Linked DNA regions of Callithrix jacchus. Each later gene encodes a partner of the first gene's protein in a complex. Links are inferred from orthologs where the notes say so. Each region holds a gene or a part of one and is shown in the gene's direction. Other genes may lie near its edges.

Region 1 (3,500 bases):
GGAACTGGTATGTCTTCCAAAGGGTGAGGTGGTTTTGACCCCGGGTTGCCCGGCCAGCACGACCAAGGAGGTGGCTGGACAGCTGGAGGATGAACGGAGAAGCCGACTGCCCCACAGACCTGGAAATGGCCGCTCCCAAAGGCCAAGGTAGGGGCATTCATCCCCAGCCCTCTGAAAGTTAAATCCTCTTTTTCTCATGGCTGCGGGGCTCACTCCCTTCTCAAGGGCTTCTCCATACTCTGAACTGGGCAAGAAAGTGCCTTAAGTATTGATGAATCAAGCATCTCCCACACTTGAGGTGTGGTTGAATTCAAATTATTTGGCCTGGAATGGCTCACTTCTCCTTTCCCTCATCCCCTGAGTTTGAGGCGGCATGCCTTCTGGGGTCCCATTCAGCCTGAAGTGTGTCCCGTCTCAGTGTCCTGGGATGGGAGGAAGAATGAGTGTAGAGGAAGGGGCTGGGGAAGTCGTCTCAGGGTTTTTATTAAGACGATGAGGCTTTTATAGAGATAGGTGGAGAAAAGAGGTGTTTTAAGGCCCCAAGCCATGGGCTATATGTACTCACCTAGACCTCTGCCTCACTCAGCAGTGATCAAGTCTGTATGGGGCTGGAAGGTAGGATGAAGCTGGGCAGCTGGCCATGCTTGGGGGATATTGAAGGGAGAGGGGATTATGGGTCCATGTGACCTGCTCTGCAGAAACCCTGGCCCAGGTTAGGAGATGCAAATGAAAATGGAGAGGAGCCCTTTTGACTTTTGGCCTTGGGTGGCTATTCTCCCAGCCCATCCGCAGAAGCCTAGAGTGCTCTCTGGAGCTGCATTTCCGTGGCTGAAAATAGCTAGTCCAGACCTGGTCTTGCTTCCCTGGGGAGTTGGGCTGACAACACAGCTTGTTATTCTGGGGGTTCTCCCTGGAGCAGGGCCCTGAGAGCTTTTGTGCACCTGCCTCCCTTACCTCAGAGCTGCTCTGTATGCTGCTTCTGTTTCTGTTCCCTTTTTCTTGTTTGCCAGAAATTCTTCCTTGATCTACGCTGAGGGGCCTGGGGGTGGAGGTGTCTCTAACACTGGTTTCCATCTGTGCAGCGCAGACATCTGCATGGGTTTTCCTTACTGCCCACACCCCCTTCTCAGTCCTTGCATATTTAGGGTATCCTAAACTCGGAACTTGAGCTTGGCCACACATTTAGGTATATTGCCTCCCTGCTTCCCACCTTCTCTGACAAGCTACCTGTTTCCCACAAAGCCCTGAATCACTATACCTTCATACCCACTCCTCTTCCCTTACAATAAATAGCTGCTGGTAGCAGCCTGGCACGGGAGAAATGATAATAACTTTGAAGCAAGCCAGACTTGTGTTCAAGCCTTGCTTTTTTTTTTTTGAGACGGAGTTTCATTCTTGTTGCCCACGCTGGAGTGCAATGGTACCATCTCCACTCACTGCAACCTACACCTCCCAGGTTCAAGTGATTCTCCTGCCTCAGACTCATGAGTAGCTGGGATTACAGGCGTGTGCCACCATACCCAGCTAATTTTTGGGTTTTTAGTAGAGACAGGGTTTCACCATGTTTGCCAGTCAAACCTAGCTTTCTAGGTATGGCATGTTCTGGACTGGAGTCCCTGCCTTGATCCAATATGGCCACAGTTGGCTTAGAACTGAGTTACGTTTTATCTCTGCCTTCAGATGGGAAGCAACCAGGGGCTGGGATTTCCTAGGGAAAAAGGGTTGAGCACTCAATAACTGGGGAACAGAATAGGGGGATAGCATGAGCCAGGTACGATGGCCTCTGTTACCCTTCACCAGATCGCTGGTCCCAGGAAGACATGCTGACTTTGCTGGAATGCATGAAGAACAATCTTCCATCCAATGACAGCTCCAAGTTCAAAACCACCGAATCACATATGGACTGGGAAAAAGTAGCATTTAAGGACTTTTCTGGAGACATGTGCAAGCTCAAATGGGTGGAGATTTCTAACGAGGTAACTGATCCCCTTCCTGACACACATGTATACACATCTCCACATACACCTACCTCAGCTGTGGTGGGGGGAAGTGAAATAGCCAGCTGTAAACAGGAAGGAAAGAGACCAGGAGAGGTGTTTGTGTGGTCGCCTGCTAGCTCTCTACCTGCCCTTGTGCACTTTGGGAGGTGGTGTGGTTGACAGCACTGGCTTAGAGTTACGCCACTTTCTATCGGTCTTGAGCCAAACAGCCTGAGCTGTGCTGAGATTGAAGGAGGTGCTGGCATGGAGAGCCAGGTAGAGGTCATGTCGTCCGCTTGTTGCTGGCCTTTGGTGTGCACTGACTGCCTGGGCCTCTGCAGTAGGCATGGGCCAGGGCCTGGGTGTCATGCTGCCTGCTTCATTTGGCTGTTGGCCTCTGCTCTTTGGTAACTTTAGTCCAGTGAAGAGTAGAAGAGACCCGTTTCAGGATGGGAGTACCCGTGGTAAGATAGGGATATGCTACTGTGTGGCATTTTCCTTTTCTCAACTTCCCCTCCTTTCCTCTCCTCTTCCTCCAGGTGAGGAAGTTCCGTACATTGACAGAATTGATCCTTGATGCCCAGGAACACGTGAAAAATCCTTACAAAGGCAAAAAACTCAAGGTGAGTTACTAGAAAGAGGCGCATGAAGGGTAGGGGAGGAAAGGTCCAAATAACAGATGGTATATGACCTCCATTATGTCCTTGTCCCTCCTTCCAGAAACACCCAGACTTCCCAAAGAAGCCCCTGACCCCTTATTTCCGCTTCTTCATGGAGAAGCGGGCCAAATATGCGAAACTCCACCCTGAGATGAGCAACCTGGACCTAACCAAGATTCTGTCCAAGAAATACAAGGAGCTTCCAGAGAAGAAGAAGGTGGGGGGAGGAGAGCTAAGGTGGGAGGAGGGGAGAGGCTGGGAGCAGCTGGGGTGGTGTGGGTCAGTTGGAGGTAGGCCTTGGAGGGACCTGGCATCGGGGACAGGTGAGTCAGCACAGCAGAGTAGGTCCTGGGCAGTCACACCTGATTGCCCCTTCCTCAGCCCACAAGTGGTCAGGCATGGGCACCGTCACAGACGTAAACCAGACAGCAGGTGCTCAGGCCAACCTTTCCCCCTGTAGAAAACCCACAGTGTTTTGTTTTATAAGGCTCTCCCCCATCCACCCATCCTCACTGTCAGGCTGCACAGCACTTCTTCCCTCTCTGTGACGCTTCCTGTCATGGTCTCATTTGATACTTGCAGTGTTTTCGAAAAGGAAACCCAGGAAAATGTTATCCCAGTTTTGTGTGCAGGAGGGTTACGTGGCCTGAGTGACACAACTGTTAATGCTATAGCAGGATAGTGTCCCAGAGTCCCAGCCAGTGCTCTTACTGCCACGTCCACCTGTGAAGTACACCTCTCCACACACACACATGTTCACTCAAGGACACACATTGCCCCTCCTGGCCTCATGCTCTTCCTTGCAGAGGTCGGGCACTGTCTCAGACCATCAAAGCATTAACCCTGAGCAGGGGGTTGCCCA
Region 2 (4,000 bases), on another chromosome or scaffold:
AAGGAATGGAGGCAGCTTCCAGAAGCCAGAAAAGGCAAGACAGTAGACTCTTCCTCAGAGCCTCCCAAGGGGAACACAGCCCTGCCGACATTTTTAGTCCAGGTAAAAACTCCCAGATAAAAATGATATAGGCCAGGCATGGTGGCTCACGCCTGTAATCCCAAGACTTTGGGAGGCCAAGGCGGGTGGATCACTTGAGGTCAGGAGTTCGAGACCAGCCTGCACAACATGGTGAAATCCCATCTCTACTAAAAATACAAAAAGTAGCCAGGCATGGTGGCATGCACCTGTAATCCCAGCTACTCAGGAGGCTGACGCAGGAGAATTGCTGGAACCCGGGAGGCAGAGGTTGCAGTGAGCTGAGATCACGCCACTGCACTCCAGCCTCCATCTCAAAAAGAAAAAGAAAAAAACTATAGATGACAGTTGGAGAATTTGGAAATTGATTCTTTAAAGCAACTGTTCTCCAAGTGTGGGCCTTGGACCAGCACCATCTGGGAACTTGCTAGAAATGCAGACGCTTGGCCTGCATCCCAGATCTACTGAATCAACAGCTCAGGAGGCAGAGGAAGGCTGAAGCAAACTTGCCACAAGCCCTCCAGGTGGAGCTGAGGCTCACTCAAGTTTGAGAAGTACTACGTTAGGATAACGGTGAGGTTTATGACTGGATACTGGTTCTTAAAGCATGACCCCCAGATAAGCAGTCTCAGCATCACCTGGGAACTTGGGCAAATTATCAGACCCCACCCCAGACTCACCCAACTGGAGACCGTGTTTTAATGAGCCCCCCAGGTGCTTCTGCTGATGCACACTTGCCAGAGTTTGAGAACCACTGCCTAAAGCTCTCCCTGCCTGACCAACCCTTGCAAAGCCTCACTCTCAGGAGGCATTTGTACTCTTATTTATAAAGCCTGCTTCTTAGGATTTAAGAACAATCACTAAGATACCTACTTATTAATACAGTGCCTGGCTTATAGTAGGTGCTCCGTAACAGTTCGTTAAATGATTAATACAATACAACACCGAGGAAATTGGTGAAGCAGATGTGGGATTCGAACCCACAATCACCCAGCCTCCACTACTGAGACTCCAGGGAGCTTTATTTTCGCCGCCCACGCGCCGCCTGAACGCCGGGTCCGCCAAGACCCAATGACGCCTGACTGGGAGGCGGGACTTCCTGCCTTCCCAGGAGGCACTTCCGGTTCAAACGGTAAAGCCGTGAGTGGCCGCGGAGGGGCTGAGTGCCGGCTCTGTGGTTCTGTCTGAGGTTTCCCGCGTGGTGTCGGGGTCGGGCGAGCTTCACGCCGCGGCCCATTTTCTTGAAAATCACGATCGGACCCGGGCCACGTAAGTGCATCTGCCTCCTCCGCGCGGACTGGGCGTGTTCGGGAGGAGTGCACCCGCAGATGGAGGAGGAGAGAAATCCCCGAATCCCCCGTCCCCGGCCTGGCGTCAGTGCGGAGTCCTGAAGCCTCGGAAGTCTAAAGGGTCCTGGGGAGCCTGCAGCGAGGGCGGGAAGCCGGCTAGGGAAGTCGAGGCTGCCTTGTGGGAGGGCTTTTGCGGGGTCGTGCGCTCCACCTGCGTAGGATCGTTTCAGGCTGTGCGGTTCCGAGGGAAAATCCTTTTGTTTCTGTTTTATTTTTGAGACAGAGTCTTGCTCAGTCACCCAGGCTGGAGTCCTGTGGCATGATCTTGGCTCACTGCAACCAGTGCTTCCCGGATTCGAGCGATTCTCGTTCTCCAGCCATCCGAGTAGCTGCGATTACAGGTGTGCGCCACCACGCCCGGCAGATTTTGTTATTTTTAATAGAGACAGGATCTCACTATATTGGCCGGACTATATTGGCTCAAATTCCTGGCCTCAGGTGATCCGCCCGCCTTGGCCTTCCTAAGTGCTGGGATTGCTGCAGGAGCCACGGCACCTGGCCAAAGGGAAAAGGTTTTTGTTTAGTGAGATCCTAATGCCAGCCTTCGCGTTTCGGTGCATGGGAGAGCAGTGGTTCAGAGCTCTGCCTCTGAATCAGGTGCGAATCAAGCCTTGGCTGTGGCACCTTAAGAGCTGTTGTACTGAAGTTCTTGCAGAGCCTTCGTTTCTTGAATTCCGTAACAGGGACGGCGATAGAAGAGGAAAACGTTTAGCAAGTGCCTGACAGGTAGATGCCTGGCGCTTGGTCAGTGAGCTCTGCTGTTATTTCTGCCCGTTATTTTTGCTAATTAAAAAGGAGGGATAACATGGCCACTCAAACTTCCAGAGGACTGTGGAGTTTTGTTGTGTTTTTTGGTTTTGTGTTGTTTTTTTTTTCAGATGGAGTCTTGTTCTGTTGCCAGGCTGAAGTGCAGTGGTGCCATCTCGGCTCACTGCAACCTCCGCCTCCCGGGTTCAAGCGATTCTTCTTTCTCAGCCTCACAAGTAGCTGGGATTACAGGCATGCACCACCCTACTAGCTGATTTTCTATTTTTAGTAGGGATGGGGTTTCTCCGTGTTGGTCAGGCTGGTCTCAAACTCCTGACCTCAGGTAATCCACTCACCCGCCTCAGCCTCTGAAAGTGCTGGGATTACCAGTGTGAGCCACCGCGCCCGGCCCCTTGTGATATAAATTTATTTTTATTCAACCCATAGTGCATTTTCTGTGGGGTCACTATGCTTGACAGTAGGAAGACGATGATAGATGCAGTCCCTGGCTGTGGAGTAACTCGAGCTTTATCTTGGGAGTGTGTATAGTCTAAATGTGTGATGACGGGGCTTAGGAGCTGTGTGAGAGGCTGCCCCCACCAGCAGTCTGGTCCATCACCGCTCTCCACCTCGCTCACCCTGCGGCTGCCTCATTGTGTGAGAGGCTGCCCCACCAGCAGTCTGGTCCATCACCGCTCTCCACCCCGCTCTCCACCTCATTGTGTCTCATACACGTCACTGCTCCAGGATTTTCACACTTGCTGATGGTTCTGCCTGGAACCCTCTCCCCAGCTGTGTACATAGCTCTGTCCCTCACTAAGTTCAGGCTGTGCTCAATGCCACCTTCTCAACAAGGCTTTTCCTGGCTGGCTTTGCTGAAACAACACCCTGGGCCTGTTAGCAGATCCAGCTCTCCTGGGTGGGTGGCTAGCTTTAATATAGTTCCCATTACTGCTTGGCGTTGGGCTACATACTCATTCGTTTTTTATTATCTGCTTCCTCAAAGAACATATGCTGCTCATAGTGCCCTTTTCACTCCTCAGGAACCGTGGCACCCCTCACCAGCTTCCAGTCTCTCGAGGTGGCCAGTGTGCTGCTTGGTCCTTGTTCCCAAGATGGACTTTCCCAGCTCCCTCCGCCCCACATTGTTTATGACCGGCCCCCTTGGTCTGAACGATGTCTCTGACCTGTCCATGTGCAGCTGGCAGAACGTGCTGACTCAGCCAGAGGCCCAGCCCCAGAACTTGAAGGTAAGGATGGAGGCAGGGGCCCTGGCAGCTCCAGGGTGCACCCCTTCCCTGGTTCCCCCATCTAACATTCACCCCAGTTGACAAGGCCACAGAGTGGGGTGGCATTCTCACGAGTCTGCTGAGACACAGGCTGTGCCACCTTCTTGGGCTACCCTGCCATCCCTAGACGGATGCCCCCACTGTGCCAGATTCCTTATGAGGTGCTGGGAATGCTGTGTCAGTCAGCCAGCTGACCTCCTGCTCCTGGCACAGAGAGCTAAGTTGAGCGAGAATAAACAAGTGAACCTCATTCAGCGGATAATGTGTTTACAAAATGTGATCAGAGCTTGGAGTGAAACCGGAAGAATGCTGAAACAGCGTGGTGGGATTGGGAGAGGGAAGGATAGACCTGCCAGGGTTTCTGGTGCCTCTGGAGGGACACTGGCTCTTTGCTTGGAATCCTCAGCCACCTGGTTCCCCTTGGAGATACCCTGTCTAGAAATGGAGCCTGGCAGAGGCAAGCGGGTGAACAAATAAAAAGAGAGAGTGGAGCAGGGATTTGGGGGATGGGAGTCAGGGATGGCCTCCTTACGAGGG
Region 3 (4,067 bases), on another chromosome or scaffold:
GCACAAGAATCACTTGAACTTGAGAAAAGGAGGTTGCAGTGAGCCAAGTTCATACCACTACTCTCCAGCCTGGGTGGCAGAGCAAGACCCTGTCTCAAAAAAAAATTAAATTAAAAAGTGGAAGCTAAACATTGGGTACACATGGACATAAAGATGGAACAGCAGACACTGGGGACTACTAGAGCAGTGAGAGAAGCAGGGGAGCAAAGGTTTAAAACTACTTATTGGATACAAAACTACCTATTGGAACTTGGGTGACAGGTTCAACCGTGTCCCAGACCTCAGCATCACGCAATATACATTTGTAACAAACTTGCACAGGTACCCCTGATTCTAAAATAAACGTTGAGAAGGGGAAAAAAGAATGCAAAGCTTGTTTAACTTACAAAATTTACTTAATATACCACTTTAGTAGAAAAAAGGAGCAAAAAGCACATGATCATTTCAATATACACTGAAAAAGCATTTGGCAATAACACTCTTGGGAAGAAAACCTCTCAACAAACTAGAAATAAATTACTTTCTCAACTTGATAAAGAGCATCTTTGGAAAAACCCACAGCCTACATCATATTAATGGTGATGTGAATGCTCCAGTTGGGAGCTTTCTTCCAACATCAGGCACAAAACAAGTATATTTATTCTTGTCCCTTCAACATTGTACTAAATGTTGGACGCCCCCCTACCACAGCCTCTCCATCTGAGACCGCCCGACCCCTACCCCACCTCCTTCCCCGGGCCTCCCCCAGGACTCCAGTCCAGACGATGCGGGGAGGTTAGCGGGCCCGACCTTGGCCTTCCAGGGGTGAGCCTCGCGATTTAGGAGTTGGGTAAAGAGCCCGGGGCCCGGCATCCGATTTTTCATTGAAACAACGACTTTGTCCGGATGACTCCCCAGGGTCGGCATCAGCGTGGGACTTGGAACAGGTTAAGGGACCGGATAGATGGGAACCTGAGAAGACCGCTTACCTCCAATCCTAATTGACTGAGCCAATGAGAGCCAAAGAGGTCACACGCTCAACTGGGTGAGGAGTGGGTTTCGCCTTCTTTAGCAGAGGAGGGAGATGCGTGGAGCGGAAGATGGGAGAAGGGGCGGACCCGCCACGCTCTGGCTGGATACAGCTTTAACCGGCCCGTTCACTCGACGGTTTTGGTTCTACGTCGACCCCATAAAAACCGTAGGGCCTAGGGCGGGCGGAACAAGAGGGAACTACATTTCCCAGCAGGCTGCGGAAGCGGGACTCCGGCCACTACTTCCGGCGCGTACTGAGCGACGGGTGTTAGGTGTGCAAGTAGCCGCATGGATCCCTGCAGCCGGTGGCGAAACCTTCCCAATGGGCCTAGCCTAAAGCACTTGACCGACCCGTCTTATGGAATCCCGCGGGAACAGCAAAAGGCAGCGTTGCAGGAGCTGACGCGGGCTCATGTGGAGTCCTTCAACTATGCTGTGCACGAGGGTCTCGGCCTCGCGGTGCAGGTGAGTGCGGCATCCACTGGCGCCCTTGCCGCGGAGAGACCAAGCTCGAGGCTGGCGGGCGAGAGGGGCCAGGCGGAGCTGGAGGAGGGAGGGGCGGGGGTGAGGTCTGGGCCTTGTGGGGCGCGGGCGGTGACAGGGTCCCAGAGAAATGGCTCAGAGGCCACAGTGTGACCCAAAATGCGTTTGCTCCTTGATCCTGACAGGCTCAGAGGGTAAGCGGGAGAGCACACGTGTTGAACAAGACGCAGAGCTGGGCCTCGTGGAACGTGTATTCGAGTCGTCTAAGAGATGTATTCGTGATTTCTGGATTGAAAAGTGATTGCGAACCATAGTTTCTTGTTGGATAGTTTCTGGGTTCTGTGAGAGTGAGGAAATGGCTTATTGGGGGTGTGCTTCCCAACCATTCACAATGCACATGCCTTTGTATCACTTGAAGACACCTCTCCAAAACGTACCTCAAAATATTCTGAACGTATTTGTAGGTACAGTGTAATGTACAAGGTTATCCTTCAGTTTCCTTTTCTTAGAGCTTTAAAGAGAGAAACTACTCATTTGTTCTGAATTAAGTAGGTGCTAAAGAAGGTATAAATGAGTCGTAAAGGCAAGATTGAATCGAAAAGTGTAATAGCATTACTAGCGTAGGGTAATGGTAGCAGAATTGAGGTGAGGATGGTGGGGGAAAGTTTCGTTTAGTAAGTATCCCCAGTGTCTCTAGGCACTAGGCTCTGAGGATGTGAAGGCCGCAGTCCCGTGTAAGAGACAGTTCATACATTTAAGTGGTCCCTGTCGTGTTTTGGGGTTAAAGGAGTGAAGATAGGAAAGTAGTCCATGCCAATACGCGAGCACTGCTCTGTCAAGGGATTTTATGGGCTACTGTGGGAGCATATAGGCAGCGCAACTAGTCCAGGAGTTTGAGAAAAGGCAGGATTAGATGAGTTCAAGAGGTGAGAAACATGCATTCCGTCCAGGGGAAGAGTAGAGCAGAGTCACATGCTTAGGGGACCCTACCTGTGGTTTTGTTGTGTAAGATTTGTGTTGTGAGAGATACGGGTAGAGATAATGTGAAGAGCTTTGATTGCCAGTCTGATACTTGAACTCTATTCCGCAAATAATACGGGAGGCATTAAAATTTATTTTTTGGGAAGACAAGAGTGGTGGGGATATTTGTATGTATTGTGCCTGGATTCTTAGAGTATCATGTCTGTGAGAAAAAATACCTAATTAAAAGTTAATTAGACCAGGTACAGTGGCTCACACCTGTAATCCCAGGACTTTCGGAGGCCGAGGCAGAACGATGGCTTGAGCCAGGATTTCAAGACCAGCTTGGGTAACATAGTGAAACCTCGTCCTCTGTAAAAGTTAAAAGATAGCAGGGCATGGTGGTGGGCACATGTGGTCCCAGTTACTTAGGAGGCTGAGGTGGGAGGCTAACTTGAGCCCAGGAATTCAAGGCTGCAATGAGCTATGATTGTGCCACTGCACTCCAGCTGGGGTAACAGAGCGAGACCTTGTCTTTAAAAAAAAGATAATCAAATTGAGAAATTTTAGAAAAGCACTAATTCGGGCCGGGCGCAGTGGCTCACGCCTGTAATCCCAGCACTTTGGGAGGCCGAGGCAGGTTGATCACGAGGTCAAGAGATCGAGACCATCCTGGTCAAAATGGTGAAACCCCGTCTCTACTAAAGATACAAAAAATTAGCTGAGCATGGTGGCACATGCCTGTAATCCCAGCTACTCAGGAGGCTGAGGCAGGAGAATTGCCTGAACCCAGGAGGCGGAGGTTGCGGTGAGCCTAGATCGCGCCATTGCACTCCAGCCTGGGTAGCAAAAGTGAAACTCCATCTCAAAAATCAATCAATCAATCAATCAATAAACCAATTGATTGGGTGTGGTGGCTTTTGCCTGTAATCCCAGCACTTTGTGAGGCTGAGGCAGGCGGATCACTTGAGGTCAATCAAGAGTTCCAGACCAGCCTGGTCAACACAGTGAAACCCTGTCTCTACTAAAAATACAAAAATTAGCCGGGCATGGTGGCACATGTCTGTATTCCCAGCTACTTGGGAGGCCGAGGCACGAGAACCGCTTGAACCCTGGAAGTGGAGGTTGCAGTAAGCTAAGATTGCACCACTGCACTCCAGCCTGGGCGACAGAGCAAGGCTCTGTCTCAAAAATAAATAAATAAACAGAAATAAAAATAAACCAATTGTATGTTAACATTTTTATGAAAATCATTTTTCAGAGCAAAAAAGAAATTAGATGAATTGCATTATTAAAAATCTTTTTAATGTCTGGCTTAATGAAAAGACAGCTGGATTCTCATGTCTGCTTCTGCATTCAGCTCCTTGTGATACATTGTTTTGGTTGAAGTAGATGAAGAAAATTTGGCCCTGCACAGAAAATAATGTCACAACTTATCTAGGACTGTAATAATAACATATTTGAAAATGTTCTGTAAAACACAGTAAAGTAAATGACTACTATTTATAAAGCCAAGGGGAAAAAAAAGTTTTATCATATTTTTATGTACTTACAAAATGTAATTTTGCCTACTTTCTTTGGAGTGAATTCCTCTTGTGAGTCAGAATTTATGG
Region 4 (4,267 bases), on another chromosome or scaffold:
ACTACAGCTTCTGTCCTTCACAAGAGAAAATAGTGATGGCTTAATTATTCACAAGTGATCTTAGTTATTTATAGGTGATCTTAATTCTTTTACTAATGCCTCTCAGGTCTCAGGCCGGAAAGTGAGAACCTGGGGTGACATTGTGAGGGCAATGACCCTAAAGCAAGACGCTTTACAGCAGCTATGCCTGCATAAGGGCGACTAGGGCCGCCTCTGCTGTGCTACCGCGTCAGCACTGAGAAAATGCCCGCTGTTGAGCCAGCTAGGGAAGGAGGCGTCCAAAGCTGGCTGAGACGTCTCATTCACCGGGGGAGTTAAGCGAAAACTCCACTCCTCCAATCTCTTGCCTTAGGCCTGACAGCTGTCAGGTAGACCCACAGGCATCCGGGGGCTTATTTGTCTCTATGTGATGCTGTGCTTCAGTGGTCACATTCCATGTCCACTCTCATGTCCTACTTCTGTACCAGGTTCCTATTTTCTTAGAAGAGATAATCAGTAAGAGTAATATAAACTTAATGTCTTTGTTCTTTCTTAACAAGTATGGAAAAGTGCTAACGCATTAGGCTCCTTGCCTCATCCCGGCTCCTAGAAATTCCTGGGTCCGTACCTGTATGATATGTGATGTACTTGACCCTATCACTGCTACGCCCCATCTACCTTTCCCCTGGTTGCTGACCACCAACCACCAATGCCACACCTACTTACCCTGCCCTCAGCTTTGTACTCAAAAAAAGTCAGAATGCGCAGACACGACCGGGGCCACTGCCGGACTCCGCGATCTGGCTGGCAGTGAACCCCCCCCACCCCACGCCACCCCACCCAAACTTTCTATCTCTGTGTCTTATGTCTTTTATTTCTGGTTTCTTTTCTCCACACCAACAGAGAGGGGCTCACAGAACCCTGTAGGGCTGGACCCTGTACCTCCTGACTTCACCCTCACCACTTGCGGTCCCTCAAGAATCCGACTTACCCCTTACAAGCGGCGAACTGTTCCCAAAGCACACAAGGCTAGTTGCGCTCTGCTGAAAGCCCACGTTCTCCAGCGGGACCCAAGGAACACTAAAACTGTACGTCCCAGAACACTTAGCTTTCTTTTTAACTACTCTGCAGCCGCAAAAGGGAAAAACCTGCTCAGGATCAGGGATAGTTGTAGTTCTCTAATCCAAAGAAATCAGTATTCAGCAAAATACAGTTTTCAGGGGGATATCTCCCGGGACTCGGTTCCTGTAGGATGTGAGACAAAGAATAAATATCCGAGGATTGGGTACTGGTGGGAAAATTTGCTGGAAGCGCAGCATTGGCTACGAATTTTGTGCTCAACGTCTCAGCACTAGGGTGAAAGTGAAGCCGCAAACTCCCTTCGGAGAGGTTAGGCTCCATCTCTAAGGCTCCCGAGACAAGGTTCGCAATTATTTATGACGTCACAACCAATTGTCAGCCCGAATGCGTGACGCTCTAGCCGGCTCTAGCTCGCCGCTGAGCGGCGGGCGTAGAGCTGCCGCTCTAGCCCATGGAGTTGGCTCGCTCCTCTCGCCGGCCCCAGGAAAGGGTTGCAAGTCCTTTACTACCCGACGCTAGCTGGTAAGCCATTCCGGGCGTTTCAGCTCCCTGGTCACAGAGGCAGGAGGCGTGCGTGGGAGGAGAGCTCGGGTTATATACTCCCAGGTACTGGGACAGAACTGTTATGACCTCTGTGTTGGGGGGATTCCTCTCTTTTTGTTAATATAACTTCTAACTCCCTCTTCAGGCCTGACCGCATATGCGTCATGGACCTAGCCAGCACTTGCTCCAGCTTTCAGTCGGACTTGGATTTCTGTTCAGAGTGCGGCTCGGTCCTGCCTCTGCCAGGGGCTCAGGATACGGTTACCTGTACTCGCTGTGGCTTCAACATCAACGTTCGGGGTGAGAGGCTTGTACGCAGTGGTCCTGGCGGAGGGTCCAGGGTCGGAAACTTGGGGACCTCAAGATCGGCAGGGGACCCTAGAGCAGGAGATCAGGCAATTGTACATTTGGTCTCGAGATGAAAAATGAAGGAAAGGATATAGGGCTTCCTGGCCTAACCAGTCAGGGGAAAGGGGAGGTTTCCGGTGTCAGCTCCCTCTGGTTGTCTCCATAACCAGTTCTTACTTGCCTGTGCAGACTTTGAGGGGAAGGTTGTGAAGACTTCAGTTGTGTTCCACCAGCTGGGGACAGCCATGCCTGTGTCGGTGGAGGAAGGGCCTGAGTTCCAGGGACCTGTGGTAAGTTAATGAGCTCAATGACTGGCTCCATAAGGTGGGTAGGAAAGAAACGGAGGAATGATTGCAGAGATCTGGAGAGTTGTGTGCCCAAGTCCAAGAGGGAAAAGAGATGTAAAGCATCCATGTTTGAGAGGAGTGATCGCCTGATTCCTGTGGGAAGTGAGGGGATATGAACTGGCCTCCCTAACCCACCGGTTTCTTCCCAGGTTGACAGGCGCTGCTCTCGATGTGGTCATGAAGGAATGGCTTACCACACCAGACAGATGCGTTCAGCAGACGAAGGGCAAACTGTCTTCTACACCTGTACCAACTGCAAGTGGGCATCCCTTCCCCTCCCTCTGCTCAGTCTGTTTGCTAACTAAACAAATCCAGTGATTCTGTTGTTGTTGTTCTAAACCACCATTTCCTTTCGTCCCATTTCTGTGCAGTTCTGGTAATAAGAACATTTGTGGTTGGTTTTTTTTTTTTATTTTTTTTATTACACTTTTTTCTTTTTTTTTTAGTAGAGATGGGATTTCTCTGTGTTTCCCAGGCTGGTCTTGAACTCCTGAGCTCAAGCGATCCACCCACCTCAGCCTCCCAAAGGGCTGGGATTACAGGCATGAGCTACCCTGTCTGACCTACTTTTAGGATATATAAAAGGAAATGAAAAAACAAACAAACAAAAAACATAAGAAGCAGGTATTGTTTAGTGGTCGGCATCTTATACTGCAGTCTTCAACTGCAGTCAAGGTAGCTTTACATTGGAGAAAATTAGTCACGCACGATTTAGGGAACATGGGCTTTCTGAATTATTTTAAGACATCATCTTTGTCTTTGGTGTCCTTCAGTCACTACAGTATATAAAAATGTGATTTTTTAAAAATTCCGTTTGGGATTTGTTGCACTTTCTGAAACTGAGAGTGAATTTTTTTTTTTTTTAATCAGCCTTGGAAAATTATCAGCTATCATCTCATTTAATATTGCCTTTCCCCCATGTTCCCAGTCCTCACATTCTGGACCTCTAATTAGTTACAAGAAGAGAGGTGTCTCTTTTGTCCTCCATTTCTCTCACCCTCTTTTCATATTTCAATCGCTTTTCTCTTTATGCCACCTTCTGGGTAATTTCTTCAGGTCCCTCTTCCATGTCACTAATTCTGTCTTCAGTTTATTTTAAATATTATTTTTTATTATTGCTATTACTTTGAATTCTATTTACTTTTCAAATCTCCTCAATTTTTAAATAATTTTCAGTTCCTTAATCATATTTTAAATTGTTCATTCTTTATATATTTAAAATATTAATTATGGTTATTATAGTCTATGTCTCATAATTCTGATATCCATGGATTTTGTCTTCTGATGCTGCTGTCTTTTGTTTCTGCTCTCTCATGGTGCCTTTTTTCTGTTTTGTGATTTTGTCTATAAATTTGAGTTTTTTAGAACTTGAACTGTAGGAATTCTTTGAGACCTTGAGTGAGTGCTGTATTCTCAGCATTTGCATTTCTTTTCCTTGAAGCACTATCAAGCTGGAATTACTTTAAATAAATTCTTGGCTTCATGTTTTTTGGAGCAGACAGATAGTATGAATTTGAGCTGCAAATCCACGTAAGGGTTAGCTTATGGTTAGAAATTCTCAGGAGAGAGTTTTCTCTCCTGCCTACTAAGACAAATTCCCCTTCTATAGAGTTGAATTTTTTCTTTTCTTGTTCACTTTTACAAAAAAGGGCAGCTCTTTGCAGTTCCCAAATTTATGCAGGGAATCTCCTATCAGACCTTTTACATTTTGTCCCTCATTTCCTATGCTTTCAGTGACCGTCATAACAGTATTAAGGGCACCATAGTGTCACGTTTCATTGGGACTTCAGTTTTCACTGTCTGGATTTCTGGTTTTGCATAACTTTTACCAGTGTGAAGTTTGCCTTTACTTTCTCACCATCTCATCAATGGATTAAAAATATTCACAGTCAGATATATCTTTTAAGAGTATTTTTTCCTATCGCTGGTTGTCATTTTACCAAAAAAAAAAAAAAAAAAAGATTTTTTTT
Region 5 (3,500 bases), on another chromosome or scaffold:
GTAAGTCTTCCACTTTATGGCTGAGACAGACAAAAATGTAAAACTCGGGCAAAACCAATGGGAGCAGGGCAATTTACTGTCACTTCCCGGGTCATTTCCAGGGTCCAGGAGGGGCCAATGAGACGTCTGCAGCTGCTGGAGGAGTTAGGAGTGAGGCCGCGCGTTGCCTGAAGGCCTTAGGCGGGTTTTGCGCATGCTCATATAAAGCTCTCCTAACCGATCTTCCGAAGAAAATTTCACGTGTTTCGGGGTCAGAGACTGAGTTTAGCTTTACTGAGGAGCTCTAACTTTAGGCGGGTAAGTGCCGCGGATATCGCCCGTGGTTCCTGCGTTTAAATGGAACGGGAAGGGGTGTGTCAGAAGTCATCCATGTTCTTCTGATATTTCCTCCTAATACTGAAACTATTTTTTGGGGTCTGAGAACGAGAGAAGGGGGATGGAGAAGCTTCGGTTGCTTCTTTTGGATTTTTGAGGATTTGGGAAGGGAGGATTTGTGTAACTACTCCTCAAAATACTTGATGGGTCAAATTTAAATTCAGTTTTTACTTATAACTCATACTCCTAGCCACAGAATTTGATTTTAGAAGGTTTACTCTGGCTGTAATGCAAAGAAGCAGACTCCGAGGCAGGGTAGTTGTTTAGAAAGGTAACGCAGTAATCTAGACACAGTTTTAAGGGGTCTTGAACTAGGGTAGTGCTGTAAGATTGCAGAGAACAGGGGAAATTGGGGAAATTTAGGAGGTAATATCAGAGGTACCAATACTCGATTTCATAAGGGTAATGAGGGAGGGGCCCTGAGCATCTTTAGAAGTACGTCCAAATTCAGCTTGGCTTATGATTGTCTTTCTAGGTTCGCTTCTCACCTTCCGCACCCCTCCTCCACACACACCCCGAATTCTAGTCATGGCCAAGTAGTTTGGTGTTCTATTTCCTTTTTTTGTAACATCACCTTTCTTTGTAACGTTAGGCAGGTTTCATCATTTCACTGAGCCCCTCAGTTTTTTCAACCTTAACATGGAAGAAAGTAATATACTCACCTCAGGATTGCTGTGAGAATTATATTAGATAATTTATACTTCTGGTACATAGTAGGGGCCTAATATTAGCTACTACTACTATTATTGTACTTCTTATATTGTTTTGTTATACAAATAATAACAAAACTTTATTTGTAGCTAATTTTATTCATCTGGACTTGACATTTTTTAAATTAGAGGACAGTATCTTATTTTTCTTTATATAGGCTTGAAACATTGGTAGTTTGGTGTTTTTTTTTTTTTTAATGTATCATTTATTTTGGCTGTTGCTGACATAATTCATCTTTTACTTTAAAAGAGCTCACAGGTGTAATTCATTTTGCTGATCTAATTATATTTATTAGATAAAAAGATGGCTGTTTTTCTGTACAACTCAGAAGACTGTATTAAGATGTACAGAGAGTAACTGGTATTCTCAGTCTGTAATAGGTATGAGTGATTTCAGTGAAGAATTAAAAGGGCCTGTAACAGATGATGAACAAGTGGAAACATCTGTGCTCTCTGGTGCAGGAATGCATTTTCCTTGGCTTCAAACCTACATAGAAACTGTGGGTAAGTAAAATAATAACACTGAACCATTGTAACTTTAAGAAGGTGGTAAGATTCCATACAGATACAAAATAACCAGGCTGGTTTAATTTTCAAGATAGGACTATATGGGGGTATTTTTTAGGCCATAAGCCAAAGAAAAAAAAATCTTTTTTCTTTTAGAATTTTTTGCCCTTGGATTAATAATAGATAGTCTGTATTATGCTAGATACACATTTTTTTTTTAGTAATACTTACTGAACACTTTTATCTCTGGCATTGACTATATATTTGAGAGTTATAGATGAAGAAGATACGGTCTCTGCCATTGAGGAAAACATACCTAGGAAGTGTTCCAGAAGTTACTGTTGAATTGCATTGACATTATTTCTAATAGATTTGGTCATGAAATATATATATATATATTATATTTATTAGATATATATATTATATGTATATATATTTTATATATATCATATATATGTATCTATATATCTATATATATTGAGACCAAGTCTCACTCTGTCTCCTAGGCTGGAGTGCAGTGGCCTGATCTTGGCTCACTGCAACCTCCGTCTTTGGAATTCAAGTGATTCTCTGGCCTCAGCCTCCTGAGTAGTTGAGATTACAGGCAGCTGCCACCATGCCCGGCTAATTTTTGTATTTTTAGGAGAGATAGAATTTCACTATGTTGGCCAGGCTGTTCTTGAACTCCTGACCTCAAGTGATCTGCCCACCTCGGCCTCCCAAAGTGCCGAGATTATAGGCATGAGCCACTCTACCTGGCCTAGATAAAAGAGCATTTTCTACATTTTTATCTAATGTAAATGCAAGCATGTTTTTCTATGGGATAGTTTTCCTATAAGAATATATTTAATATAAATAAAAGAAGCAATTATTTGTATGCTGGCATGTTAAGTGGTATAGTCCGGGGAATACATTTGAACCAGCATTTTACTTATTGCCCTTAAATATGTATTTTTTGCCCAGCCTTTTCTCCCCTTGACAGAGATTCCTTGGCTCCTAAAATTTTGCTTTTATTTTTTTATATTAATCTAAGTATCATCTCATTTAATGATCTCAGTAAGTTAATACTCAATAATTTTTGTGCTAGACAGTTTAGGTGGAAGGAAACTGAATCTCAAAGACATTACGCTCTTAAGTGGTGGTATCAAGAGTCAAACCCAGGTCTGTTTGATCTCAAAGACTACGCTTTTAATCACTGAGGTATATTTTTTAAAATGAGATAGTATACTTCAAGTGCCTAGCATAGTATCTTACGCATAGTGAGTGTTGAAAAATAATAGTGCCTTTCCTCTCCTCGTTTTATTTTTGCTAAATTAATGCACATGGCTTAAGGCAGATCTGAATGAATGATACGTCAGAGATAGTGCTACCTCCTCCCTGGCAGGGAACTAGTAATTTAAATTCCCTCTAGTTATGCCATACTTGGGCATGTTTCTGTTACCAGTGTTCTATAGAGGGTCTGAGTCAGTCTGCAAGTAGATACATTTAAAACCAAAGACCAAAATTTACATGCTTAGAAATATTTTACATGTCATAGATGGCCTGTTAAACCCAAAATACTGTTGGTCTGCAATGAGAAAATACTTGCAAGTAATATTGACATTGTTCTGGTAATTAACTATAATAGGAAAACAAAATTGCCTGACAATTACTGTATTTATTTTTTATGCTGGTAGGTATCTTTTGGCATTTTGAAGGGCATACCCAGCAAGCCCCTTATAATAAAAACTTTGAAGACGGGACAAGTCTGGATTGAAGCTCTATGATGAGTACCTAGAATAGTGCTTGGCACACAGTGGTGCTCAAAAAATATTTGTTGACAGATTGATACGTTTCCAGATTCTTTCAGTAGCATATTAGAAGTTAGGTTGATGACAGTGGTTCTTTATTGTACATCTCTATTCCATG
Region 6 (4,113 bases), on another chromosome or scaffold:
TTTGATTTCTACCAGGACAACCTGGGGCGACACACCAATACCAACTCCAGGACATGGGACACACCTAGGTTTACTTTTCCACCTGCAGGGGATTCCATCTTGCTTACCTGATCAGCCACCTGCCGGCTCAGCTGTCCCTTAAAGCCCTTCATGCCCAGGAACTCTCCATCCTCTTCTTCAGCAGCAGCCGCATCAGCGTCTGCATCAGCGTCTACTTCTTCCTCGCGCAGGCGCTGATGCAGTTCACCCATATCCTCGAAGCTAGAGCCTGAGGTATCATCCATGTTCTCCATGTCAATCACAGCTGAGCCTCCGCCCTGTTAAGACAATGGCTCCTAGAGTGCAGGACTTTTCTGTTCCATCCATTAAGTCCTCTGCTCATCCCAGGGCTTAGGGCTTTGTTCTTCCACTGCTGAGGATACGGCTTGGAATCACTACAGATCATGCCACTCCATTCCCCCTCATTTGCTCTCAGAACGCTTGATTTATAGCTTTGGCTATCTTTTCTAGCCTGGGAAACCAACTAGTCTTCCATTCATGTCTTTCTCCTACCTTACCTATCAAAGACTAAAAGCTTGAAAAAGAATCCATTTCTGTCTTTCCAAAGCCCCAAACAAAACTATGAACACAGTATGTTTTCGGCGAGTGCCAGTGAATCCCACCCAACCCCACTCCAGGCCTGACCCCAACCAACCTCCTAACTTGTTCCAAGAATACGTTCTTCCTAACGCCTCGGGCGGGCCCAGAGACCCGAGATCCTCAGGCTGGAGTAGTAGACTAGTCTGGCCCTTTCAGGTCAATGTTAACTCCACTGACTTTTGTGTGCAAGACCCAAAGAAGGCAGTTTTGCAAATGGAGTGAACTTCCAGGCCCCGAGGGAGAATCCCCAAGACACTTCTGGACATCGCCGGCCCTCGGGTTGCTGGCATCTGGTGCCTTGGGGCCATTACCTGGATGTTTTCTTCGAACCCTCCCCATTCCGGGCCAGCTCCGTTTCGGGCGCCGCCCGTCGGCGCCGCTGTAGTTGCCATGCCCTTTGAGGGCTCCCGTCGCTGAAGCCCGCGATAGCCCCGCGCGCAGGGAAGTGTGCGAGATGTGAGTCCCAAGAAGGGAGAGGTCCCAGGTCGCGGAGAGGTGGGATCAGCCGGAACACAAAAAGGAGAAACCCGGATGTTTGGACAAAACCAACTTCCGGAAATTGGGGACGTGGATGAAGGTGGAGCAAAGTCTCGCGATATTTAAGATTCCAGGAGGCGGTGCGTTGCCACGGAGATGGAGCAGTGCTGCTAGAACGCACGCGCCAGCTAGAGCCTGTAGTCTTTTGGAGAGATTGAACATGGCGGCTACTCAGGCCGTGGAAGAAATGCGGAGCCGCGTGGTTCTAGGAGAGTTTGGGGTTCGCAATGTAAGACTTGTGTCCTTGAGCTCAGGCGGGAGGAATGAGAGCGGAACAGGGATGGGTCTTGGGATTGGCGTGGGGATAGCCGTAGGCTCACTGTCCATTTGTGGACAAACTCATCCCTTTGCTCTAGGTCCATACCACTGACTTTCCCGGTAACTATTCCGGTTATGATGATGCCTGGGACCAGGAACGCTTCGAGAAGGTCAGTGGGGCCAGAGTTGTCCGGGGATTGTTAGGAGGGCCAGACCCTGTGGTCTCAGCAGCATGTGTCTGTCTCAGTAGCTGCTCTTGGGGGTCGCTCCGTTTGTAAGTTTTGTTGAGCAATGTGGTAGACCTCCGTTTACAGGCCAAGTTAGACACAGTTTCTACCCAGTTCTGCAAACAAGATGTTCAGTCTTGTTGAGGAATGGTGCGTATAAACAAGTGAATCTAGTTTAATATGGTAAAGGTGGTTGATAGCTGTGAAGATGGCAGGATTCGTGTGGGGAACATTATGCTGAGACCAGGAAGAGGGGCCCAGAGGTACTTAACATTTCTTGAGGAGGGAAGATCTGAATTGAGCTTTGAACGGTAAGTAAAGAACAGGAGTTAAATTAGGAAGGCTTTGAGTTTCAGGTCAGTGAAGTTGAGGATATACAGGTTTTGTGTGTATTTAGTCTATTATTGTTTCACTTAGCTTAAAATAAGGATTAAAATTGCATTTAAATAGATCACTGAATGTTACTGTTTATGCAACTGAACTGTGTGTGCAGTTTATAAAACATGATCTATAAATCTGTGCTTGGGAAAATTTTACTTTTTTTAACCTGTTGATACAGGAATAAAGTATGAACAATGAAAAAGGCTAATGCTTGAAAAAAAGTTATGGTGTGAATTGTGCTCCGGGAATGTCCAAGCAGTTCTGGCACTAGTGGTAGGCAAGATTGAAGTGTGTCTTGGGCACTGTTGATGATAGGGAGCTTGAATAGTTAAGCAGACATGATTAGATTTGCAACCCTGATAGCTGGGAGGGAATGAGTTTGAAGAGGATCGTATGGAGCAGGCAGATCTGTTGTAAGGGAAGCTGAGGTTGAAGGTATGAACTAAGACTGACGGTAGAAAGAGAGCAAAGGAAGAAAGAAGGTAAATTTGTGATTGCTTTGGTAAAGGCTGTTGGGGTAGCATAAAATGACTTTTTGACTTGGGAACTGCTTTGATGCATTGTGGTATCATTTACTGAGAGAAGAAATGGGTCTGGGGAAGAGGAATGATGATACGTCGTTTCCTGCATTTGGAGAAATCTAGCAGGCTAGAAGACTGCATATTTGAAATGAGATCAGAAGGGAGGTAAAATTTTGGGAGGTGTCAGCACAGATAGTTGCTAAAACCGTTGTTAGTGTGGTTAAGGTCACCTGGGAGAGAGACCAGAACCTGGTAGATTTAGAGATGGGTGGACGTTGTTGATCATCAGAGAAGGAAGAATGGAGCTCAGAAGCCAGGAGAATAGTTCAAAAAAGGAGGGGATTTTTTTTTTTTTTTTTTGAGATGGAGTCTCTGTTGCTCAGGCTGGAGTGCAGTGGCAGGATATCAGCTCACTGCAACCTCTGCCTCTTGGATTCAGGCAGCTCTCCTGTCTCAGCCTCCTGAGTAGCTGGTATTACAGGTGCACACCACCATGGCCGGCTAGTTTTTTGTATTTCTAGTAAAGATGAGGTTTCACCATGCCAGTCTCGAACTCCTGACCTCGTGATCCAACCACCTTGGCCTTCCAAAATGCTGGGATTACAGGCATGAGCCATTGCGCCTTTCCAGGAGGGGATTTTTTTAATCAATGCCAGGCGTAACAGACGTCTAGTAAAAGGACTGTCTAGTGTCAGCATGACTAAGCAGTGAGGTGGGTTTCTGTTCTTAGGACAATAGCTTCTGTGGATGGTTTGGTTGGGAGCCATATTGGATAGGGTTTTAATGAATGGAAGACAAAAAATGGACACTTTTCATGAACCTAAAGCAAGCACTGGACGAGAAAGAACATTTAATAAGGGACGTCTGGGCAAAGGGTGGTTTTTGGATGAGTGGATAATACTTGGAATCATCTGAGGGGGAGGTATGAAGAGCTATTACAAAGAGAGCAGGCTTCACTTAATCTTTTTCCTGTCCCTCTAGAATTTCCGTGTGGATGTGGTACACATGGATGAAAACTCACTGGAGTTTGACATGGTGGGAATTGATGCATCCATTGCCAATGCTTTTCGACGAATTCTGTTAGCTGAGGTATTGGCAGGCATGGTGACAAGGTTGGATTTGCTTTGGGAACTGCACTGACACTTGGAGTGTCACTTGGAGAATTAAGTGTCTCAAGCTGTCCTTCCCTTCTTATTTTTCCTGGAGTTTTGCTGGCTAAGGATTTTACCTTCTCATTCTTTGTAAACTTCTCATTAAACATTCTAGGAAGAGAGATAGCTCCCTACCTCTGGAGGTTGGAGTTTGTGGGGATAGGTAGGGGGTCTATTGGGTTTTTGCTGATAAGTGATTTTTTCCTTGGGCAGGTGCCAACTATGGCTGTGGAGAAGGTCCTGGTGTACAACAACACATCTATTGTTCAGGATGAGATCCTTGCTCACCGTCTGGGGCTCATTCCCATTCATGCTGACCCCCGTCTTTTTGAGTATCGGAACCAAGGTGAGAAAATGAAATTTTGGGAGAAGTGGACTGTCTGGGTTTAAATCCTGGTT
Region 7 (2,619 bases), on another chromosome or scaffold:
CTCACAGAATTGCTGTGAGGACTAAATGGCGTCATGTTTATAATGTGCCTGTTGTTAAAATGCTGGCATCGAGTTACCAGTTACCATTTTTAAATGGCATCTTTTATATTGTTAATTACTGTTAAGAATAACTTTGCTACTCTTGCTCCATAGGGCTGACCAATTTGAGTATGTAATGTATGGGAAAGTATACAGGATTGAGGGAGACGAAACTTCTACTGAAGCGGCAACACGCCTGTAAGTTACATGATCTTGTGAGGATTGTTTTCCCCCTCCCTGTTCTGAGACTTTGAGTTATGCTTCTGCTTCCTCTGTTGGGTCCTTCTCCTTAGGCACCTCAGACATAGGTGGGAACTAGAAAGAAATGGTTATTAGAGCAGTTTCCAGTCTGAATTGTAGACTGCCCTTTGTCAGGCCCTCCTGGCCTAGTGGTCCAGAAGAGAAACTGGTCATCTCCCTGTTAAAGTATGGAGGAACCAAATGCAGCATTAAGTGATTATACTATTAGGCTGTGTGTGTGTGTGTGTGTGTGTGTCTTTTCCTTAAAATCTTATTAAAACAATATGTGCTGTTTGTAAGTAATTTGAAATGCGGAAGAGAATGTGAAGAAGAAAAAAAACCCTGTCATTCCATACCCAGAGAGAACCTTTTACATAGACTTTTTTGCATATCCTAGTGTTCTTTTTTTAAATTTATTTTTAATTTTTTGTTAATATCCTAGTGTTCTTAACATCTATATTTTTCCTTTGAGACTGCGGTGTTAATTACCTTTTTTCTGCTTTTTGCTTAACATTATGTAAAACATGTTTTGGCCGGGCGTGGTGGCTCACACCTGTAATCCCAACATTTTGTGAGGCCGAGGTGGGTGGATCACCAGGTCAGGAGTTTGAGACCAGCCTGGCCAACATAGTGAAACCCCGTCTCTACTAAAAAAATTACAAAAAATTAGCTGGGCATGGTGGCAGGTACCTATAATCCAGGTACTTGGGAGGCTGAGCCAGGAGAGTTGCTTGAACCCAGGAGGCGGAGGTTGCAGTGAGCTGAGATCTTGTGCCATTGCACCCCAGCCCAGGAGACAGAGAGAGACTCCGTCTCAAAAAAAAAGAAAAAGAAAAAGAAAATGTTTCCCCATGTTAGTGTAAAGCTTTCTTAAACATTTTAATAGTTAGATAACATTTCAGTAAGTGGATCCCATTCCCCTGATTTGGAGCATATAGGTGTTTTTCGACTTTGCTAATAGAAAGAACAATGCTGGCTGGGCGCAGTGGCTGATGTCTCTAATCCCAGCACTCTAGGAGGCTGAGGTGAGTGGATCACCTGAGGTTGAGAGTTTGAGAGCAGCCTGACCAACCTGGAGAAACCCCATCTCTATTAAAAATATAAAATTAGCCAGGTGTGGTGGTGTACACCTGTAATCCCAGCTACTTGGGAGGCTGAGGCAGGAGAACTGCTTGAAACCGGGAGGCAGAGGTTGCGGTGAGCCAAGATCACACCACTGCACTCCAGCCTGATCAACAAGAGAGAAACTCTGTCCCAAAGAAAAAAAGAACAGTGCCTTACACATATCTGTACATTCATCTTTGTCAGAATTTTGGTTCCTAGTGACAAAACAGTAGAAAGATGTTATTCTCTTTGTTAGGCTGAGATGGAGAGCTGCTGAGTAGTAGCTGCTCCAGACTCATGGCATGCGGCCTTCTGTTTCAGCTCTGCCTACGTGTCCTATGGGGGCCTGCTCATGAGGCTGCAGGGGGATGCCAACAACCTGCATGGATTTGAGGTGGATTCCAGAGTTTATCTGCTGATGAAGAAGCTAGCCTTCTGAACCTCGCCTGAAGCCAGCCTTGCTGCCACGTCACTCAGGTCCTGGACATCGTTCTAGCTTGAGTTGCAGCTGCTCTTGATTACCTGTTGAGGAGGGGCTGGTTCCCTGTCCACTGTGGCTGCATCTTTAACTGGCCTGCACTCAGTTAGAAACTCACTCGCCTGTGAAAGACACAGTGGGAGAGCTTAAAATCAATAGGAAGCTTTGTGTATATGATTTTTAATCAAATGTTACTTTTTCAGACTGCCCCTCCCCTTTTTGTAAAAAGTTCGTTTACTGTAAAATCATTTTTTCCAATTTGTCTGTGGTGTACTGTTTCTGGCCCGCAGCCAGCTGATCACTTGCCATTGTAGGATCTATTCCAGCCTTTTGGTATCTGGGTTCAGGGTTATCCCAGTCTCCTGGCTGACTGTTCCCAACGTTTATCCTCCAGTGTGGTTTTCTGTCTGGGAGAGGGAGTGTTGTGCTTTTGGCTCCTGAGGGCACCCCAGGCCCAGAAGATACCACCCATTTGGCACAGAAGTTTGAATTGGCAAGGAGCCCTGCTCGTGTCCTTCCAACACTTTCAGTCTCTTAGAGAGTCAGTTCACATTGACTTGAATGAGTCACTTGCATAGTCTCATTATTTCATTATTTTTGTGGAAGATTTGGGTAGAGGCTTTTAGCTACAGGCATGGGGGATGACTCTGAAGAGTCGGAGGAGAGGACTTGGTGCTTCCGGAGGCAGGTGGAGGAGCTGGCTCTCTGCTCTACATTCCAGTGGTGACCCGGGAGGGAGGGTAAGTGGAAGTGGACAG

Evidence for each region.
Region 2: UBTF (region 1) and TAF1C share a complex: the UniProt entries of both Homo sapiens proteins name them as parts of the pol I pre-initiation complex. The link is inferred for Callithrix jacchus from reciprocal best matches to the Homo sapiens genes UBTF and TAF1C.
Region 3: UBTF (region 1) and POLR1B share a complex: the UniProt entries of both Homo sapiens proteins name them as parts of the pol I pre-initiation complex. The link is inferred for Callithrix jacchus from reciprocal best matches to the Homo sapiens genes UBTF and POLR1B.
Region 4: UBTF (region 1) and POLR1H share a complex: the UniProt entries of both Homo sapiens proteins name them as parts of the pol I pre-initiation complex. The link is inferred for Callithrix jacchus from reciprocal best matches to the Homo sapiens genes UBTF and POLR1H.
Region 5: UBTF (region 1) and TATA box-binding protein-associated factor RNA polymerase I subunit A share a complex: the UniProt entries of both Homo sapiens proteins name them as parts of the pol I pre-initiation complex. The link is inferred for Callithrix jacchus from reciprocal best matches to the Homo sapiens genes UBTF and TAF1A.
Region 6: UBTF (region 1) and POLR1C share a complex: the UniProt entries of both Homo sapiens proteins name them as parts of the pol I pre-initiation complex. The link is inferred for Callithrix jacchus from reciprocal best matches to the Homo sapiens genes UBTF and POLR1C.
Region 7: UBTF (region 1) and POLR2H share a complex: the UniProt entries of both Homo sapiens proteins name them as parts of the pol I pre-initiation complex. The link is inferred for Callithrix jacchus from reciprocal best matches to the Homo sapiens genes UBTF and POLR2H.

The regions. Positions count from the first base shown.
Region 1 is NC_133506.1:71,067,274-71,070,773, reverse strand, and holds part of UBTF (nucleolar transcription factor 1), read left to right. Parts: intron 1-22; 5' UTR 23-89; coding exon 90-147; intron 148-1,800; coding exon 1,801-1,976; intron 1,977-2,518; coding exon 2,519-2,602; intron 2,603-2,699; coding exon 2,700-2,855; intron 2,856-3,500. UniProt on the Homo sapiens protein: Recognizes the ribosomal RNA gene promoter and activates transcription mediated by RNA polymerase I (Pol I) through cooperative interactions with the transcription factor SL1/TIF-IB complex.
Region 2 is NC_133521.1:41,830,479-41,834,478, reverse strand, and holds the start of TAF1C (TATA box-binding protein-associated factor RNA polymerase I subunit C), read left to right. Parts: upstream 1-1,200; 5' UTR 1,201-1,347; intron 1,348-1,650; 5' UTR 1,651-1,768; intron 1,769-2,110; 5' UTR 2,111-2,153; intron 2,154-3,217; 5' UTR 3,218-3,289; coding exon 3,290-3,424; intron 3,425-4,000. UniProt on the Homo sapiens protein: Component of the transcription factor SL1/TIF-IB complex, which is involved in the assembly of the PIC (pre-initiation complex) during RNA polymerase I-dependent transcription.
Region 3 is NC_133515.1:22,055,078-22,059,144, reverse strand, and holds the start of POLR1B (DNA-directed RNA polymerase I subunit RPA2), read left to right. Parts: upstream 1-1,267; 5' UTR 1,268-1,299; coding exon 1,300-1,476; intron 1,477-4,067. UniProt on the Homo sapiens protein: Catalytic core component of RNA polymerase I (Pol I), a DNA-dependent RNA polymerase which synthesizes ribosomal RNA precursors using the four ribonucleoside triphosphates as substrates.
Region 4 is NC_133505.1:34,798,452-34,802,718, forward strand, and holds the start of POLR1H (DNA-directed RNA polymerase I subunit RPA12), read left to right. Parts: upstream 1-1,467; 5' UTR 1,468-1,510; coding exon 1,511-1,581; exon of another isoform or gene 1,582-1,747; coding exon 1,748-1,902; exon of another isoform or gene 1,903-1,980; intron 1,981-2,139; coding exon 2,140-2,240; intron 2,241-2,446; coding exon 2,447-2,556; intron 2,557-4,267. UniProt on the Homo sapiens protein: Core component of RNA polymerase I (Pol I), a DNA-dependent RNA polymerase which synthesizes ribosomal RNA precursors using the four ribonucleoside triphosphates as substrates. Can mediate Pol I proofreading of the nascent RNA transcript.
Region 5 is NC_133520.1:17,669,556-17,673,055, reverse strand, and holds part of TATA box-binding protein-associated factor RNA polymerase I subunit A, read left to right. Parts: intron 1-101; exon of another isoform or gene 102-297; intron 298-1,456; coding exon 1,457-1,589; intron 1,590-3,500. UniProt on the Homo sapiens protein: Component of the transcription factor SL1/TIF-IB complex, which is involved in the assembly of the PIC (pre-initiation complex) during RNA polymerase I-dependent transcription.
Region 6 is NC_133505.1:51,998,629-52,002,741, forward strand, and holds the start of POLR1C (DNA-directed RNA polymerases I and III subunit RPAC1), read left to right. Parts: upstream 1-1,313; 5' UTR 1,314-1,336; coding exon 1,337-1,405; intron 1,406-1,532; coding exon 1,533-1,604; intron 1,605-3,544; coding exon 3,545-3,652; intron 3,653-3,927; coding exon 3,928-4,060; intron 4,061-4,113. Other genes in the region: protein YIPF3, read right to left, coding at 108-317, 951-1,031. UniProt on the Homo sapiens protein: DNA-dependent RNA polymerase catalyzes the transcription of DNA into RNA using the four ribonucleoside triphosphates as substrates.
Region 7 is NC_133516.1:13,344,881-13,347,499, forward strand, and holds the end of POLR2H (DNA-directed RNA polymerases I, II, and III subunit RPABC3), read left to right. Parts: intron 1-153; coding exon 154-237; intron 238-1,704; coding exon 1,705-1,822; 3' UTR 1,823-2,119; downstream 2,120-2,619. UniProt on the Homo sapiens protein: DNA-dependent RNA polymerase catalyzes the transcription of DNA into RNA using the four ribonucleoside triphosphates as substrates.